Linked DNA regions of Elephas maximus indicus. The protein of the gene in region 2 purifies or fractionates together with the protein of the main gene of each other region. This does not show direct contact. Links are inferred from orthologs where the notes say so. Each region holds a gene or a part of one and is shown on either strand. Other genes may lie near its edges.

Region 1 (10,544 bases), on a different chromosome or scaffold from region 2:
CAAACCCTCTACAATAACAGAAATGAGACACAACAGAAAAAGATGTTTCTAGTTGGAACTGGAATCAGGGATTTATGAATGACTGTTCCCCAAATGTACCCGGAAAAACAGTCTAGAACATCTAGTCCAAATTGTTTAAATAAAATTCCAACCTCCAACTGGTTTAAGTTCTTAAATTTCCTTTACAAAATTGTCAACAGTCTCCAATAATCTTAAGTGTAGAAACAAAATCCAAGAGTTTTAATATTTCTGAATTTAAACCATTTAACTAAATGGCTTGCATGATGCTACATGGATCAAGATAAAGAAAATCCAAACTTACCTGAACTTATTAATTTAGCACAGCTACTTTTGCTTGCGTCACCTTCAAAGATATGGTTTGTGCTCTTTTCTTTTCCAACCAGAATATCTTCCAAAGGTAAGCATTTATCAGATTCAACACTGTCTTCACCCACTGGATGACTAATTTTGCTATTAGTTTCAAGTACAGACGTGACGTCTTCCAGCTGAGCAGCTTCACTAGATTCTGAATAAGAGGAACCCTTACCCTGGGCTAAATTCTTTGAAGAAACTGGTAGAGACTCATCGTCACTATCAAATCCAAAAGGATCCCCAGTATTTTCTTCTTCCAACTTAGGTTTCTTTGGGATTTCCTGGATATCTGGTTTGAAATTGGGCCTCTTCTGCCCTAATTTAGCCATAAATGTGGTCTCTCCCCATTTTGTGCTAAGGGTAGTCCGTTTGTTGGAAAAGACTTCATCGAACTTTGAACTGCCATTTCCTCCTTTCCTACTGTATGTTTTCCCAAATCTGGATGTCATTTTGACACCTGTTTCATATTCCCTGTAAAAAAAAAAAAAAAACATACATATATATAACCTCCAAGTAACTAATACCAAATATAAAAATAAGAACTTACAGATTCTCCCCATCTTACTTTCAACATTCAGGACAAGATACAAGCCTTTAAAAACGGTTTAAAAAATACTGGGAAAGGGTGTAAAGAGGCTCATTTTTACTCCATATACTTCCATACGCCAATTCAATTTTTTTTTAACGATGAGTACATACTCATACACTACTTACAAAGTAAAAAAGGCATGACCAGCCAATTTATAAGATAGCATCCACAAAACTTACTTATAGTGAAACATCTGTGTTCTAAATGAACTATTTACTATTTGTACAAACATCAAGTTTACCCTTAAAAATGTACTCTAAATAGGGTAATTACCCTAATATAAAATCTTAGGTAGAACAAAATTTTTTTTTGTTAGCATCTCAGAAACGTTAAATACTCGACTAAGTTTAGTTTTCTTGAAATTTCAGAGCACTTATTCACAGCAGAAAAGAAAGCCAGAATTTGGTGCAGTGTTCTTATGTATTACAACCTGCATCTTTTAACCCAAACTTGAAGATTCTGATTCTTGGTCTAATGTAATTCGGACAGTGACTTGAAAACTATTGCTTAGGTGGTCATGTCCCAGAGTGCAAGAAACCATCCTTATTCTATCTTCCTTGTCCCCATAGCGCTGTGCTCATTTGCCGAGTTATATATTCTGGGGCTGGTGAAATCTAGCGTACTACGTTGTTCCGTGGATTATCAAGCAAAGCAATACAAACACATTATCTTTATTTTTCCTACTACCTTTATAAGGGACAAATTGATTTATCTTTATAACAACAACAGATACTAGGAAGGAAAAAAAAATTGTCAGGACAGTAAGTCAAGAATCAAACATTTTTAAAAAGCAAATTACGTTATTTTTAAATACTTCTTATCGATTTCTTACACTTTGCCCTTGTGAAGTTTAGATACTAATATAAACCAAAACAAACCAAACCCTCTGCCGGCGAGTCGATTCCGATTCATAGCGACCCTACAGGACAGAGTAGAACTGTCCCCATAGAGTTTCCAAGGAGCGCCTGGTGGATTTGAACCACCAACCTTTTGTTGAGCAGCCACAGCACTTAACCACTACGCCATCAGGGTTTCCAAATACCAATATAACAAGGAAAAAAGTGAGCAGCTGCCTCCAGACTTGAAAATCTTCATTACTTTGAAACTTAGAACAATTTTAATGATATACGGCCTATGCTTTAAAGACATTTTATAGTGACTCATCACTGTCCAACTTAGTTATATATATTAAGTAGAACATTCCTGCCTCCCATGATTATAACTTGACACAATAACGATTAATTTGGTCATCATACACATCTGTCTTAAAATAATTGGTAATTTATCTAAAAACTTCCTAACATGTCATAAAACTTTTTCCTGAGAAGATCGATTTCTCCTTGTACTACAGATTTACGATAAAGAATCTTGTATCTTTCCTGTTACTTACATTCTAAACAAAACTAAGCACGTTGGGGAGCTACCATAGACCAGAAAAATAGTCATTTTTTCTCCTTATTCCTTCAAGAACATAAAGCCCTGATCTGCAGACCTGCATTTAGAACACAACAACAACCCTAGAATGTTTTGGATACACTTATGCAGTAATCACCTAAAAATGCAGACTGAAGGGCCAAACCAAAAATTTAGACTTGAGCTCCTTTAAGCCCACACAAGAAAAAATCATTATAAAAATGCACTTAGAACCACAAAAGATTCACTGTTGAAAATTAAAGTCTAGCAATAGACTTCATACATTGGCATTTGATACAAATGAATGGTTAATTATTTTAAAAGTGATAATGGAGCCCTGGTGGCGCAGTGGTTAAGAGCTATGGCTGCAAACCAAAGGGTTGGTAGTTCAAACGCACCAGCCACTCCTTGGAAGCACTATGCGGCAGTTCTACTCTGTCTTATAGGGTCCCTACGAGTTAGAATCGACTGGACTGCAACGGGTTTGGCTTTTGGCTAAATGATAATAATACTGAGCCTATATTTTTCGAAAGAGTCCACGTCTTTTAACAAGTAAATACTAAAATACTTCTTGATGAAGTCTCAGCGTTTTTTTTCCTTAACGCTACGGTGTGCAGAATGGAACCTGTGTAGGTGAAACAAATTTGATTAAAAGTTAACGTGTTGAAACCGAGCGACGGGTACAAAAGAGTTCATTATATAAAACCCCTATTTTTTATTTCCTTTATAATTTTCCATTAAAAAAAAGTTTTCTTAAAAGTCAGTAAACAGACTATTGCAGTGGCTGTCTCTAAGCATAAAGTGTAAAACATGTATAAATTAAAACACCAGCACGCAGACGTACTGGACGTGTTTTAAGTGGGGCCTCAAGTACACAGACTATCTTGTTCAGGCTTCAAACTCCAAAGACTACCCTAACTAAAAAGGAAAGAATGATGCACAGTTAAGTTTTTTCGGTCATTGGGCCTTTGCCTCAGCCCAAAGGCAGGTCAAATTTTCAGGGAAACGAGCTGAGACAGAGTCCTCACACTTAGCCACCGACCATATCTAGCGTCTGTCCGGCTTAGGAGCTTCCATAAAAAAAAAGGAAAGTCGAAAGGGGCAAACCTAACCACTCAGAAATCCTCACCTGGAGGCGAACGGTGCGGAGGACGGTAATGGGAGAGGGGGCCCCTGCGGCTGGAAACTCAAGCAACTTTTCGACCCTTCCTACCCTGACCGCCCAGGAAAGGGATGTAGTTTCCAACGCCCCGGAAGCCTCTGCCACCAAATCCCTAGGACAGTGTAAAGGCCTCAGTGGCCGTCTCCTCAGTGGAGAAAAAGACGGGAAAGGTCTTAGAGCTGAAACCTACACACTCGACCAGGTATACCGAGGGAAGTAAATCAGCAGCTGCCGGGAAAAAAATGAGAAAAAAAGGAAAAAAAGAGTTGTGCAGTTTGTTCCCCTGCCCAACTTCCTCAGAGACACGGCGGGTGAGGTAGCGAGACTCTCGCCGCCCCGGCGTCCCCCACCCTCCCAGGCTCGCTCCCGGCCTAGGCAGCCGCCCGAAACCTCACTTACCCTCGGCGCCTGGCGGGTGCTTTGGCCTCGGGTCGCCTCCGCCTCTCCCGCTCCCAACGGCCCACGGGCGGGCGCGGGAGCCCCGCGCGTGAGCGCAGGGCCGGCCGGTGAGCGAAGAGAGGAAGGGGGTGAGGAAGGGGGATCTGCCACCGTCAAAACCTGCCGCTCCGCTCTCGGTAAATAGGAAACCGGGCGGGGGGGCAGCGGAGACCCCGCAACTTCCCTCCCCGCCTTGACCGCCGCCGGCCGGGCCCGGGCCTAGGCCTCCCTGGCCTCGCCGCCGCCGGAGCCGGTACCGGAGCCCGCTACGTGCCCCTGCTGGGCCGCCACCGCCTCCTGCGCCGCCGCTTCCGCCGGTGAATGGTCAGCGCTGGAGTTTGAACAGGGCCCTGAACCATCTCAACGCCATTTGCGCTCCCGGCCCCCACCTCCTTCCTCCAACAGCCGCTCGCTCCGTCACTCCGCTTCCCACAGGCCCCGCGCGGCCGCCCGACCCCGCAGCCAATCGAGCGGCCGCTTACTCAAACTGCCGCGCAGGCGCCGCGACACGCATGCTCCGGGGCCCGCCATTGGCTCGGGCGCGGGGCCCGACGGGAGTTGTAGTCCCGGTCCGCGAATCGCAGTGTCGAGAGCCCGGCGCGGGAGTGGGCGGTGGGTGGAGCGGTCGCCGCGGGCCTGGCCCGTCCCGGCTCGGGAGCCGGTTCCAGCTCCCGGGCCCGCCGGGAGACGCAGGTGCCCCGGGGGAGGGCCGGGGGCGCGGTGCAGGCAGCTGTGTCAATCGTTTCCCCTCCTGGGACCCGCCGGTGTCTGGGGACAGTGGATTGTGCAGCTGCGCCGGGCTTGCTGGGGCCACCGCCCGGGAGAGGGGAGGCAGGGAGCTCGCGGCTCCAGCAGCCTTCGGCCCGGCCTGGCCTGTGCGGGCCCGGCGCAGGTAATGACGGCGCTGCGGGAGGCCCGGGCGCTGGGCGCTCGACTGCCACGGTCATCTCAGCCCCGGCGCCTTCATGCGCCACCGTCCGGCTCCGCAGACCTGACTCTCGTAGTTTCCTGGCCGTCCCACTCCCTCGGGTTAAAATGACCCCGGGGTTACTGGGTGGTATTAAGGAGCCATGGGCAATCTTGTTGGACGTGATAATGGTAATGTGGTCCCCCCCCCCATTTTTAAATTCACGTACTGAATTTTTGACAGGTAAAATGATCTGGTGCCTTAGATTTACTTTAAAATACTCCAGCAAAAAGCCGGGGGAGGGGGAATAATACAGGACGGCGGGATGTTTTCCATTGTGGAGGCTGCGTGATGCGTCACACGCGGGCTCCTTATACCAGTCTGTGTATCTGCAATTTTTTGTAGTAAAAAGTTTAAAGAACTGAACCAGTGATTGTCTCTGGGGAAGTAGGGGAATGAGGGGGTGAAGGAAGACTTATTTTTCGCTGCACATCCTTTTGTGCTGTTTAAGGTTTTTTTTCCTTGTCAGCATTACCTATTAAGAAAATTGGAAAGTTGTTTTTAAAAGGCCGCAGTGGGAAAACACCGTTCCAAAGAGTAGCACAATGGGCTCGTCCTAATAGAGATGCATGATTCATCAGGCTCTGACGACCCTGCTGTTCGGAAGGCTGTTGATAGACACACCTGGGAAATGGGGAAAGTACTACCGTAATTGCTTCCAGTGAAACGCCTGTCTTTCTTCCACAAATGAATAATTTGCTTTGAATGCACCTGTAAGTTACCAAGCTCTCTCCGATATATTGGGCAAACCCTGAAAAAGTAGTTCAGAGACCTTGCTGCTCTTCCCAATAGGAATGTAAGGTGGATTTTAGCATGGTTGGATTGTTTTATTTGGACGTGACTGCTTGCAAATTTTATATTTTGACATTTACAGTTTTCCAACCGCTATATAAGTATTTTCTCGTTGTGAAAGAAATCAACTCTTCTGTCTTTTACGTTAATGGAAGTTACCAGTCGTCTGTGTATTCCACTGAGGGTTGTACCAACATGATTTTCAGTTGGATCAGTTTTGTGTTTTTTGAAAAACCAGGGTAGGATCTTGTTTTATCAGTTTGAGAATTGCAGGCAGCGGCGCAGGTTTTACTTCCTATAATTATTTAGATGACACAGTAAAAACACAGTAGAGGGTGCTAATTAGGGAGTAATTATCAGCAGAGGCAAAAGCTATGATCAAAAAGCCCAAAGTGGCCAGAGAGACAATTGCAAGGTTTTCCTGTAGGAGAATGCTGTGAACCCTGAGACCAAAGGATGTATTCGTTATGCCCTGGCCTCCGCGGGGCTGGGCAGTTGAGTAGGTTAGTGACTGAAGTATGCTGAAGTGAAAGAATTTAGTTAAAGAAATTGTCCTTGGAGCTCTTGTTATCCCACAAAACAGGTAAGGTCTCCACCAGAACTGTTTGTGTGGTGGTTGTGTTAATAATGGAACTTCCAAACCCATTGCCGTGGAGTCAATTCCAACTCATAGCGACCCGGTAGGACAGGGTAGAACTGCCTCATAGGGTTTCCAAGGAGCATCTGGTGGATTTGAACTGCTGACCTTTTGGTTAACAGGCGAACTCTTAACCACTGTACCACCAGGGTTTCCAATAATGGAACTTTGTATTGTTAAATTCCCGCTACTCATGCCCTGACAGGGGACACAACAGATAACCCCTGAGGGAGCAGGAAAGCAGTTGGATGCAGACCTCAAATTCTGGTAAAAGGGCCTGACTTAATGGTCTGACTGAGACTAGAAGGACCCCGGAGGTCATGGTCCCCAGACCTTCTGTTAGCCCAAGACAGGAACAATTCCCAAAGCCAACTCTTCAGACAGGGATTGGAGTGGACTCTAGGATAGAAAATGATACTGATGAGGACTGAGCTTCTTGGGTCAAGTAGACACAGGAGACTATATGGGCAGCTCCTGTCTGGAGGGGAGGTGAGAGGGCAGAGGGTGTCAGAAGCTGGCTGAATGGACACAGAAAGAAGGTGGAAAGAAGGACTGTGCTGTCTCATTGGGGGAGAGTAACTAGAAGTATATAGCAACGTGTATATAAATTTTTGTATGAGAGACTGACTTGTAAACTTTCACTTAAAGCACAATAAAAAAAAAATTTTTAATGCTAATAAAAGACAAAAATTCCAGCTTTTCAAAGAGTGGTCCTTGGTCAGCAGCAGAAGCATAGGATAGAAGCTTGTTGGAAAGGCATATTTCCCATCCCAGCCCCGACTCCATTGGATCAGAATCTTCACTTTAACAAGTTTCCCCCCAGCGACTGGTCCACACGTTGAATTTTGGCAGGCACTGACTTAAAGCATACCTATAACATTTGACCCCAATCTAACATTTTTCTTAGGAGGGGAAGGGTAAATGTCAAGAACCTAGTCTTTGTGAGGAACAATCCTAGGCTCTTCAGGGACTTAGCTGGTATCCCAGCCTTTTGTCTTTGTCTTAACAGGTGAGGAATGGAAGGTTTGGCATTTGCTGAAGACACTGCAACTATAGGAGGAATCAAACATATTTAAGCATTGGGTACTCATTACTTATAGATAATCTTGAATCTGGTAGAAAGTAGTACAGGATTTAGAAAGTAAAAAACTATGTCTGTAGGTGTATGTGTTTAATCTATGGAAGCTTGTTATCAGGTCCCATGGAGTCGGTTTTGACTCACAGTGACCCTGTGTGTAACAGAACGAAATGTCGACAAGTCCTGCGCTATCCTCACAGTCTTTGCTGTGTTTTGAGCCTGTTGTTGCAATCACTGTGTTAATCCATCTCATTAAGGGACTTCCTCTTTTTTCACTGACCCCCTATTTAGTATATGAATATTGAACAGAGCTGTGCTATTGCTCTCTACTCTCAGGTGCCCCACACTAAAGACAGGTGGAGAGCCTGCTCACTCTAGGGCCCCTCCTTGAAGGAAATTCAGGGTCCCTGGGCCTTCAGCCTGTACCGCCACCTTGAAATCTGGAGTTCAGTTTCCTTTGAGTGGTTAGAGGTATCTACCCTTTATCTCCCTGGTTCCACTGAGGCAGACAAATGCCCTCGGAGGCCGCATTCCATTCCTTTGCCATGGCCCCGAGTTCTACGCCAGGGTGAGCTGTTTTTTGTTTTCTTGGTTCGTTTAGTTCATAACTGCTAGCCAAAAGGTCAGGAGTTCAAATCTACCAGCCACTCCTTGGAAACTAGGGGGCAGTTCTACTCTGTCCTGTAGGATTGCTGTAAGTCAAAATGCACTTGACAGCAATAGGTTTTAGTTCATAACCAGCACCCCCCTCACTCACACCCTGTAGCCCTAGAATGGTTCTCAGTCTGCTACACACATACACCAGGTAGACAATAGGTACTTTGTTAAAATAGAATGCCTCTATGCAAGCCCTGGAGTCCCTGGGTAGTACAAGCTGTTAACGCACTCAACTGCTAACCAGGAGGTTGGTGGTTTGAATCTACCCTGAGGCATCTTGGAAGAAAAGCCTGGTGATCTGCTGCTGAAAAATCAGTCATTTAAAAACCCTATGGAGCATAGCCCTTCTCTGATACACGTGGTGTCGCCATAAGTTGGAGTCGACAGCAGCTGTTTTTCTTTGTTGTTTTATGCAAGTTCTCTGATTTTTCTTTATTATGAAATGTCATATGTATGCCCAAAACTGAAAATATTGACGTGAGCCGTGTTGTTTGTACCCTTCGGTGGCACAGGACATCCTCCTGTGCTACCTGGAGGAGGGCAGAACCCCATTACCTTGGGCTGCACAGGGGTGGGCTAGTACTTCCTTTGGCTGAGTGTTTAAGAAAATCCTGCAAAGAAAACTGTTCTGCTATTGCTGCACCCCTTTTAGCAAGGCATGGGCATGAACTGTCAGACCTGGAGTTTCTAATAAGGCCTTTTCTGATAATATGTGGTAAAATGTATTACAACTTAAGAGAATTCGGTTCAGGGAACCTGGTGTCAGAGACTACTACATTGCCTACAGTGAATTTTCCCTTGTGATAGAATGTGGAATACAGTTATGAACTGTACAGTTATTCATTGTACTGGTTGTGTGGCAAGGCCCTGCATGATCTCCTTGCTGTTTCACAAAATTGCCGGGCATATGTTCCCACCTCAGGCCCTTTGCACTTGTCAGGACCTCTTCTACAACAAGTTTCCCTCAGCTCCCTCACTCCTTTAGGTCTTTACCCAAATGGAGCTTCTCAGTGACTCTCCCCCTGACCAGCTTGTTGTAAATTGCAACACTGTCAATCCCAAGTGTTCTCTGTTTGTGCTTTATTTTTCTCGGGGCCACTTATCTCCCCCATCAAACCTATCACATATTTGTTATATTTATCTTCTGTATTTCTCTTCCCCGTGAGGAAGTGCTCTTTGTCTTATTTACTGTTGCACCCCTAACACCTAGAACAGCACCTGGCACAAAGTGAACCTCAGTAAATATTTGTTGAATAAATACCCCCACTTACGTCCTTCTCTTGCGTAAGATTATGTCTTAGAAAGAAAGTGACCTTAAAATCACTAGCAATAGCTTCCAGTAGCTTAGTGGCTCCATGAATGGTTGCTGACTGGGTTTTCCCAATAGGAAGGGGACGCTTTCAGGAGTTACCTTTTGTTCTGGCCTTGGATAGGTTTTCATTCTGAGAACTGAGAATGTGAATACTACTATAATCCCAATTACCTTGTTTTCAAGGATAATTGGAATATGTTCTCCAGAGATGGTAACATCCTTTGGGGAATAAACTGCTGAGTAGTTGAAAGACAAAGCAAGGGAAACTTTCCCTGGGGACGTGTTGCTTGACAAGGATTGGTACCCAGCAACTCTTAGAATTCTCGTGACCTGACCCCTGCCTCTGGAGACAGCCCTCTTCTCCGTGGGGTCCTCACCCCTACTGTTCTGTGATACCTCTCCTGATCAGAAACCCTCCAGGGTCTTCCCATCACCAAGACTAAAATCTAAAATCATTACCATGGCCTACAAGGCCCTGTGTTACCTGGCCCCTGCCTACTCCTATCCTTTCCCTTCTTGCCAAGCTTGCCTCTGTCTTCTACTAGAACATGCCAAGCCAGCTGCTGCTTCAGGGCCTTTGAACTTGCTGTTCCCTTGCTATCCTCAAGATAGGCACATGGCTCACTCCCTCGCCTCCTCAGGTCTTTGCTCAAGTGTCTTCTCAGTAGTGCCTTCCCTGACCATGCTGCTTAAGTTAAAACCCTCAGCGTGCCATGCCAGCACTCTGTATCCCCTCTCTCTGCTGTTTTTCTCCATAGTAGCCATCATGTTTGTTTTACGTATTATCAGTCCACTAGAATATAAACTCCATGAGGACAGGGGTTGACTTTTGTTCACTACTATATGCGCAGCAAGGTGCCCTGGTGGTGCAAACAGTTAAGCGCTCAGCTGATACCGGGAACGTTAGCAGTTTGAACCTACCTAGCAGCTCTGCAGAGGAAAGACCTGATGTAGTCTACCATAGTGAATTATCTAAATTCATGAGGAATAACAATCAGGATCAGCACAAAGCTGATTCCTACGGGGTGGAGATTATACATAGATCCACTTTCCCGACTTCTTCACGGTGTCTGACACCAGCCATTCCCCCCACAGCACTCTTATTTCTCTGCTGGGTTTGATAATTT
Region 2 (9,787 bases):
TTGTGTGTGACCTCAGCATAATTTAACCTATCTTGACTGATACAAAGAAACTTAAGACTGTGAGAATTTATGAGATCTATAAGGATGTGTAGATAGATAAGAATACCCCAGAAAGCTGAGAAGCCAGGGCAGAGGAGACAGGGAGATGAGGAGCCAGCACACGAAGCTAAGGAGGAGTGGTCAGTGAAGTGAAAGAAAAACCTAAAGAGTGTGGTGTCTTAGAAGCCAAGGGAAATAAAGTGCTTCTAGGAGGAGAGAGTGATCAACTGATGATGGATTGAGATGAGGACTGAGAACTTGACTGATTTAGTAGCATGAGGGTTATTGACAGTGACAGAGCAATTTTGGTAGAGTGTGGCAATAAAAGCCTGAATGAAGTAGGTTCAAGAAACAACCCAGTTTATTAAAAAGAAATACAAGAGAAAAAGAGGAAGGGGGAAACTGTAGATTAAAAAGGACTTCTATATATACAGGTGGGAGAGTCTCTAGCATATACCTAGGAGTGGAAGTGCTGGATGGCAGGGTATATGCATACTTAACTTTACAAGATAATGCTAAATTGCATCAATACAATCATATTATATTGATATCAGTTTACAACAGTGTATAGAGTTCTGGTCACTCCACATCCTAACCAACACTTGGTTATCAGACTTCTTAATTTTTGCCAGTTGTGGGTATAAAATTATAATTATTGATTAATTGGAATTTTCCTTATTGCTAATGAGGTTGTACATATTTTCATGTGTTTTGGGGTATTTTTGTTTACTCTTCTGTGAAGTACTTATTCATATCTGTCCATTTAAAAAAAATCAGGTTGTTTGTCTCTTTCCTATTAATTTTAGGAATTCCTTACATATTCCACACACTAATCATTTCTTGATCATATGCTACCACCTGAAATGGCTGAACATGGACCATTTCATTCTGGTAGAGTAACTCTGTGTATTCCTTCCATCTTCTTTTGGTGCTTCCTGCATTGTTCAATGTTTTACCCATAGAGCCCTTCAAAATTGCAACTTGAGGCTTGAATTTTTTCTTCAGCTCTTTCAGCTTGAGAAATGGCAAGTGTGTTCTTCCCATTTGGTTTTCTAACTCCAGGTCTTTGCACATTTCATTATAATACTCTGTCTTCTTGAGCCATCCTTTGAAGTCTGTTCAGCTCTTTTACTTATTTCTTCCATTCGCTCTAGTTGCTTGCTGTACATTCAAGAGCAAGTTTCACAGTTTCTTCTGACATCCGTTTTGGCCTTTTCTTTCTTTCCTGTCTTTTTAATGACCTTTTGCCTTCTTAATATATGATGTCCTTGATGTCATGCCACAACGCCTCTGGTCTTTGGTCATTAGTGTTCAATGAGTCAAATCTATTCTTGAGATGGTCTCCAAATTAAGGTGGGATATACTCAAAGTCGTATTTTGGGTCTTACGGCCTAGTTTTAATTTTCTCCAGCTTCAACTTGAACTTGCTTATGAGCAATTGATGGTCTGTTCTGCAGTATGCCCCTGGCCTTGTTCTGACTGATGATATTGAGCTTTTCCATGTCTCTTTCCACAGGTGTAGTTGATTTGATTCCTGTGTTTTCCATCTGGTGAGGTCCACATGTATAGTAGCCGTTCATGTTGTTGAAAAAAGGTATTTGCAATGAATAAGCCATTGATTTTGCAAAATTCTGTTGTGCGATCTACAGCATTGTTTCTATTACCAAGGCCATATTTTCCAACTATCAATCTTTCTTCTTTGTTTCCAACTTTTGCATTCCAATAACCAGTAATCAGCATATGATCAACAACTGATAGTACTGAAGGAAGAAGTCCAAGCTGCACTGAAGGCACTGGTGAAAAACAAGGCTCCAAGAATTGACAGGATACCAATTGAGATGTTTCAACAAAGGGATGCAGTGCTGCAGGTGCTCACTTGTCTATGCCAAGAAATTTAGAAGACAGCTACCTGGCCAACTGACTGGAAGAGATCCATATTTGTGCCCATTCCAAAGAAAGGTGATCCAACAGAAGGTGGAAATTATCAAACAATATCATTGTTATGGATTGAATTCTGTCCCCTAAAAATGTCTGTCAACTTGGCTAGGTCATGATTCCCAGTATTGCATGATTGTTTACCATTTTGTCATCTGATGTGATTTCCCTATGTGTTATAAATCCTATCACTATGATGTAATGAGATGGATTAGCGGCAGTTATATTGATGAGATCTACAAGATTAGACAGTGTCTTAAGCCAATCTCTTTTGAGATATAAAAGAGAGAAGCAAAACTTTCATTTAAAGCACAATAAAAATTAAAAAAAAGAGAAGTAAGCAGTGAGACATGGGGACCTCATACCACGAAGAAAGCAGTGCCAGAAGCAGAGCATGTTCTCTGGACCTGAGGTTCCTGTGCTAAGATGCTCCCAGACCAAGGGAAGATTGATGAAAAGGAAGTTCCTCCAGAGCAGAGAGAGAGAAAGCCTTCCCCTGGAGCTGACGTCCCGAATTTGGACTTGTAGCCTACTAGACTGTGAGAGAATAAATTTCTCTTTGTTAAAACCATCTACTTGTGGTATTTCTGTTACAGCAGCACTAGAAGACCAAGACAATCATTAGTATCACATATAAGTAAAATTTTGCTGAACATAAAAAAACAATTGTAGCAGTACATCGGCAAGGAACTGCCAGAAATCCAAGTTGGATTCAGGAGAGGATGTGGAACGAGGGATATCAGATGAATCCTGGCTGACAGCAGAGAATGCCAGAAAGATGTTTACCTGAGGCAGTCGTTCAATCAGAACAAGGGGATACTGCATGATTTAAAGTCAGGAAAGGTGTACGTCAGGGTTGTATCCTTTCACCATACTTATTCAATCTGTATGCTGAGCAAATAATCCAAGAAGCTGGACTATATGAAGAATGGGGCAACAGGATTGAAGGAAGACTTATTAACAACCTGAGATATGCAGATGACACAACCTTGCTTGCTGTAAGCGAAGAGGACTTGAAGCACTTACCGATGAAGATCAAAGACTACAGCCTTCAGTATGGATTACACGTCAACATAAAGAAAACAAAAATCATCACAACTGGACCTTTAAGCAACATCATGATGGGTGGAGAAAATATTGAAGTTATCAAGGACTTCATCTTACTTGGGTCCACAATCAATGCCCATGGAAACAGCAGTCAAGAAATCAAACAACATATTACATTGGGCAAATCTGCAAAATACTTTTTAAAGTGTTGAAAAGCAAAGATGTCACTTTGAGGACTAAGGTATACCTACCTGACCCAAGCCATGATATTGTCAGTCACCTCATAGGCGTGGAAAAGCTGGACAATGAATAAGAAATACCGGAGAATTGATGCCTTTGAGTTATGGTGCTGGCAAAGAATACTGAATATACCATGGACTTCCAGAACGAACAAGTCTGTCTTAGAAGAAGCACAGCCAGAGTGCTCCTTGGAAGCAAGGATGGCAAGACTTCATCTCACATACTTTGAACATGTTATCAGGAGGGACCAGTCCCTGGAGAACGACATCACGCTTGGTAACACAGAGGGTCAGCAAAAAAGAGGAAGACCTTGACAAGATGGATTGACACAGTGGTTGCAACAATGGGCTCAATGTGCAGGACCGGGCAGTGTTTTATTCTGTTGCACATAGGGTTTCTGTGAGTCAGAACCAACTTGATGGCACCTAACAACAACAATCATTTCTTAATTTAAGTGCGGCAAATATCTTCTCCAAACGTGAGGCTTGTCTTTTCACTTTATTATTTTACAATGATTTTTATGGTATCAATTGATACATAGAAAGATATGGTTAACACACATGCAAGTTATGAAGCACAACAATAAAATGAACACCTGTGAACCCTCCATAGCACCCAGAGAATAGAACATTACCAGTACTTTTGAAGCTTTCTGTGTGCACTTGCTTATCTTTTTACTTTCTTTAAGATGTATTTTGAATGTAGTCAAATTACCACTTTTCCTTTAAGCTTAGTTGTTGTTGTGTGCCATCAAGTTGATTCCGACTCAGTAGTACTGACCCTTATATGACCGAGTAGAACTGCCCCATAGGGTTTCCTAGGCTGTAATCTTTATGGGAGCAGATTGCCAGGTCCTTTGTCCTGCAGAGTGGCTGATGGGTTCAAACCGCCAACCTTTTGGTTAGCAGCTGAGCACTTAAGCACTGCAACACCTTAGTAGTTTTTATATTTGGAGAAATCCCTCCTTACCCTGTGGTCATAAAGATATTCTCCTATATTTTCTTCTAAAATTTCTAAAGTTCTGCTTTTCTCATCTAAGTTTTTAGTCTATTTAGAACTGTATTTTGTGTATGGTGTGTGATAAGAACTTAATTTTTTCCCCTAGCTCCATCTCATCTTTTAGAGATGAAACTATAGTTCTCTATGAATTATGAGATTTCTGTCCTTTGGTCATTTTATCCCCTCAGCCTGCTCCTGCTTTTCCAAACTGAACTTCATTTATGGCTCCTCTATTAAATCCTGTCAACCAGGCTTTCTCACTTTCCTGAACTTGTCCTAAGTCTTTAGGACTCTTTCCAGCCTTCAGACATCTTTTTTTTTTAAAGTCACAGGAATGGCTATGGCAGCCACCCAACTCTTTTCATGTCTAAGCCTGAGAATGGCACCAACCCCAGCCCACCTGCTCCATCTGCCACCATAATCAATAAGTAATTCTGACTCATCCAGCCACTCGCAGATTCTAGGGGTTCTCCTAGGAGTCATACTTGGTAGGGAGGACAGACAAGGCCATCCTGAAGGGTAAAAGAAAATCTAAAAGCCTAGTTCCAGACACACAACTAAGTATTACTTCATGATATCTCATATAACTCTTTGTATACAATAGTCCATGTGTCTGGAATGCTGCCCTCCCATCCCCACCTGTCTCTGTCCACCTGGTAAGCTTCTTGTCATCCTCAGAGTCCAGCTCAAAAGTCATCATCTCTGATCCCAGACAAAGTAGAGGCCAAGAAGGTCCCTGAATACCAGGCTAAGGGCTCTAGGCTTTGTCCTGAGGGAAGCTATTGAAGGGTTTTAAGTGAGTGGATAACATATTCATATTAATATCTCTGGTGGCTGATGTAGAAGGATAGGAGGTAGCAACTCAAGGGGACAGGCTAGGGCCTCTCCTACCCAGACTGCAGGTCCCTAGTCAGGTGGGGAGCATTGATTTAGGGACCCTGATTCCTGGGGGTACTCAAAATACCTTTCTCGTCAAGGAGTCCCGGTGTTGAAGCTCCCAGGTTGGGTCTGGGTTCAAGTAGCCAACAAGTGGCTTAGGTCCAAGTCTGTTCTTGGGCTATGGTGGCAGTCTCAGAATTCTGCTTGGAGAACAGGAGGGAGGGAGGCAGGCGACAAAGGTTGTATCTCAGACCACAGGCTTCCCCAGCCTACAACCCTGTCGCCCGGAGTCCCCACAGTTTCCTTCACACTCCATCCCTCCTCCAACTCCACCCCACCCTCAGCAAAGTCTGAGCTCACCTAACAACGATCTTCCCGCCGGTCCCTCCTTCCCGTCAGCCCTCGGCTCCCCGGTGTCCTTCTAATTCCCGATCCCTTGTCCGAGCCCTCTAGCTGGCCAGGCTAAAGCCAGAGCCGAGCTCCCATTTTCCTCTTGCCCTGCGGGGCCTAACCTGCTGCGACTTCTGATTTTCAGAAACAGTGGGCTCTAGTCTCGCCAGACCTCCCGACACCGCCTCCTCAAGGATACATTCGGCTGCAGCAGCGGTTTGTGTTGCCAAGGCAACAGTAAAGAGCGGTGGGGCTCAAATGCCTGTCGTAAGCCCGCGCCCCGGCAACGGATCCACAAAACTTCCACGCTAAACCGAAGGCCCCGCCCCGTGGTCTCGCTCGCTACGGACACCGGAAATCCCGTTGGGTTGGACTCATTCTCGCGAGACTTGCCGTCCACCCGGCTTGCACTGCGGTGTTTCCCGCGCGGGCTACCGAGTTCTAGGGCGTACGGCGCGGCCTCTCGTACCGCTGCCGGCGCCTTCGGCGTCATGGGTTTCCTGAAACTGATTGAGATCGAGAACTTTAAGTCGTATAAGGGGCGACAGATCATCGGACCATTTCAGAGGTTCACAGCCATCATTGGACCTAATGGCTCTGGTGAGATAAACCTGGCCGCGGCCTCGCGCACGTCCCGGCCTGGACCCCCTGTCCGGCGACAGAGTAGTACAACCCAGCCAATGCCACCTGAAAAGTCGCGAACCCTAACGTGCTCTTTGCCCCTTCTGAAGGGGTTCGGTCCGAACCTGCTCTCTCTACTCGGGTGCTCTTACTCGAACCTCTTCCCCAGGCGTCAGTTGTCCGTACTTTGTGCGGTCCCCGCTCGGGTCCGAGTGGTACGGGCCGAACTGTACGTTGCCCCGCCCACCACCCCTCCCGCCAAAAGTGGCGCGTCCCCAGTTGGCCGCCAGCCGCTGACCCCACCGGACCCTCTCGATCTGGCTCCTCCCGCCTTACTTGACCTTTCCGGAAGTCGTGGGATGGCTGGTATCCTTCCTGTGGCCTCTGGGGCCCAAACGGTACACTTCTGCCTCAGCTCAGCGCCCCCTCCCGCCTCGCATCAATTCCCCTTTTTTTACTCTTCTCCCAAGGCGGCACTTTTGAATCTTGGACCCAGCGTTTGAGTCTCCAGGGTGCTTTGGGTCTCGATCCCCTCCCCCTGACACACACCTTATGACGCCGTCAAAAGCCAGAACTCACTCATCAAATGTTCATTGAATGCGTACAGTTTATTGGGAGCTGTTCAAGGTGCTGTGGAAACAGAGTAGAATAAGCGAACTCTATATATACTTTCAGGGGACTTAGATTCCAGGGGGGAAAGATGATAATAAAGGAGAAAATAGGATAATTTTAGGTTGTAATAAGTGCTGTGAAGGAAATAGAACAAGTTGATGTGATAGAGGAACGTGTGTATCTTTGGAAAGGGTGGTAATATAAGGCGACTGTTTCATGTCTTAATTCCCCGTCTCTAAATTATACACCATGGTTCTTCCTACCTACCCTCAGAAGTGGTCCATTTGGAATTCTGCTGTGTGCCTCCACCCCAGAGATGTTCTAGCTGAATCATTTCCTAACCTGAGAGGCTGCCCTTGCTGAAGTACTGTAGTTCATACTGAATACCTTCCTTGGAGTCTTGCCTGGGTGTGGCTGTCTGCCTAAAAAACCCAAAAACCAAACCCACTGCCGTCGAGTCGATTCCGACTCATAACGACCCTATAGGACAGAGTAGAACTGCCCCACAGTTTCCAAGGTGCGCCTGGTGGATTTGAACTGCCAACCTTTTGGTTAGCAGCTGTAGCTCTTAACCACTACGCCACCAGGGTTTCCGCTGTCTGCCTAGAGCAAGGTTTTTCAACAGCAATGTTACTGACATTTTGGGCAGGATAATTGTGGGGATGTTCTTATACACAGAAGGATTTTTGGCAGCATCCCTGACTTCTACCCACAAGATGACAGTAGCACCCCCACTCTCCAGGTGTGACAACTGAAAATGTCTTCAGACATTGCCAAATGTCCTCTGGGGGCCAAAACCACTCCCCCCTCTTCCTGAAACACTGGGCTAAAGTGTTTTACCCCAGTTTCTTAGAGTTTTAGTGCGGTGACCCCTGTGGAAAGAGCCAAGGTGTACCTCTTACATTCAGTTCCCTCAGCACTGGTAGATTTGTATACCCAGCTGTTCAGAAAAGCCATTATCCTTAATTCCCCCTTCCCCATTCTTCAAGGCCGATCTCCACAAGACATTTTTTGATTCTCCTCAGTCAGTGATTCCTCTTCCTCTCTGGCACAAATAGTAGACACTTGGTACACATTAATGTTTATTTTTTTTGTCTTGTATTCATGGCATTTTGTTTTCATATCTTTATCACTGGTCTATAAGTGTTCCAAAGAAGACATTCCTTGAAATGTTTTACCTTTGTTAACTTTGTTACCCGAGTGCCCATCTTATAACACATGTTGTGAAAATGTTTACAATATTGAATGATTCTAAGTAGAGAGAGACCTCTGGTTGTAAGATGTTCCTGTTATCCCTGGGAAGCAGTAGAGAAGCCCAAAGTTTAGAAATTGGTACCTAAATGACTGACTCTTGGTCTGTGTGATATGCTAATCCTGCTCTGATGAGGGAGACAGAGCTAAGAGTTATGACCTATGTTAGGATAAAAAAAATTAGGATAGTACTGCCACTTATTGAGTACCTACTATGTGTCAAGTACTTTATTTATTGGGATTTTTACATTTAATTTCTCACAGTGAGATACCATTATCCCCATTTTATACATGAGGAGACTGAGGCACAAAGAGGTGTGATAACTTGCCTTTGGTCCTCAGAGCGAAGATCAGAAGCCATTCCTGTCATACTTCAAAGCCTATGCTCCTTCCATTCCAACAGAGCAATATGTGCCAAGCTGTGTTTTAGATGTTTCACCCATGAGTCATGTTTTTTCATATTTTCCAGGTGAGAGAATGGAAGGTTACAGATACTGTGCCATTTGCCCAGGGTCACACAGCTAAGACGTAGTGAAACTAAGATTAGGGCTTGGTCTATTGGACTTGAGTCCAAGCTCTTTTTTTTTATAATATTTTATTGTGTTTTTGGCGAAACTTTACATAGCAAATTAGGTTCCTATTTAACAATTTCTGCATACATTGTTCGGTGACGTTGGTTATATTTTTCACAATGTGTCAACATTCTTATTATTTCTGTTCTGATAGTTCTGTTTCCAGAAATCTAGTTTCCCTGCCCCCTTAACTTTTCATTTTTGCTTTTGAGTAAACGTTGACTCTTTGGTCTCATAAAGATGATTTTTTAAAGGAGCACAACATTCATGGGTGATATTCTTTATTTTATGAGCCAATCTGTTCAGCTGAAAGGTGACCTCTGGGAGTAGTTTTGGTTCTAAGTTTAAGGGCATCTAAGGGTGATAGTCTTGAGGGGTCCTCTCATCTCGACTGGTCCAGTAAGTCCGGACTTTTTAAGAATATGAGTTCTGTTCTACGTTTTTCTCCCTTTCTGTCAGGATCCATCTGTTGTGTCCTTGATCAGAGCAGCTGGTAGTGGTAGCTGGGCACCATCTAGTTCTGGTATCGGGGTAGATGAGGCTGTGGTTCATATAGACTATTAGTCCTGTAGACTAGTTTCTTCTCTGAGTCTTTTGTTTCCTTCTTTCTCTTTTGCTCCAGATAAGTAGAGACCTGTAGTTGGCTGCTTGCAAGCTTTTAAGACCCTAGACAATACTCACCAAACTAGGATGTAGAACATGAACTTTATTATGCCAGTTGACCGAATTGTCCCACAACACTATGATCCTAAGCCTTCAAACCCAGTAAACCAGTCCCATGAGGTATTCGCTTATGTCTAAGAAGTGTCTGTAACTGTGCTCCCTGTACACTTTATTATATATATGAATACATACACGTGTACATATACATGTATATACATATGCATATAGCTGTGTACACCTGTGCATGCATGTATTATATACCCACATATGCCTACCTATACATGTATATGCATATGTACGTATATATGTAACCACACTTACAATTTTTGGTTGTTGCAAAATTCTGTATGTCATTACATTTACCAAAAACATCCTTTATTCTTGTGTACTTCTTAGTGACATCATTTACCTTGGTCAAGTTGTGCACCCTTCACCCGTATTTACTGTTACCTTTTCCATCACCAAAAGTAACAAATAACAAGTGTCTAGTATCCAGAGAATGATTCCCCCTCCCTTCTCCACCCATCCCTGGTAAACAC

What was found.
Region 1: the proteins of SMC1A (region 2) and WAPL purify together in Homo sapiens (affinity purification with mass spectrometry; 7 studies listed by BioGRID and IntAct, with this or other methods). This does not show direct contact. The link is inferred for Elephas maximus indicus from reciprocal best matches to the Homo sapiens genes SMC1A and WAPL.

The regions. Positions count from the first base shown.
Region 1 is NC_064826.1:122,857,096-122,867,639, reverse strand, and holds the start of WAPL (wings apart-like protein homolog), read right to left. Parts: upstream 4,416-10,544; 5' UTR 3,936-4,415; intron 844-3,935; 5' UTR 822-843; coding exon 323-821; intron 1-322. UniProt on the Homo sapiens protein: Regulator of sister chromatid cohesion in mitosis which negatively regulates cohesin association with chromatin. Involved in both sister chromatid cohesion during interphase and sister-chromatid resolution during early stages of mitosis.
Region 2 is NC_064846.1:115,208,077-115,217,863, forward strand, and holds the start of SMC1A (structural maintenance of chromosomes protein 1A), read left to right. Parts: upstream 1-5,923; 5' UTR 5,924-6,020; coding exon 6,021-6,129; intron 6,130-9,787. UniProt on the Homo sapiens protein: Involved in chromosome cohesion during cell cycle and in DNA repair. Central component of cohesin complex. The cohesin complex is required for the cohesion of sister chromatids after DNA replication.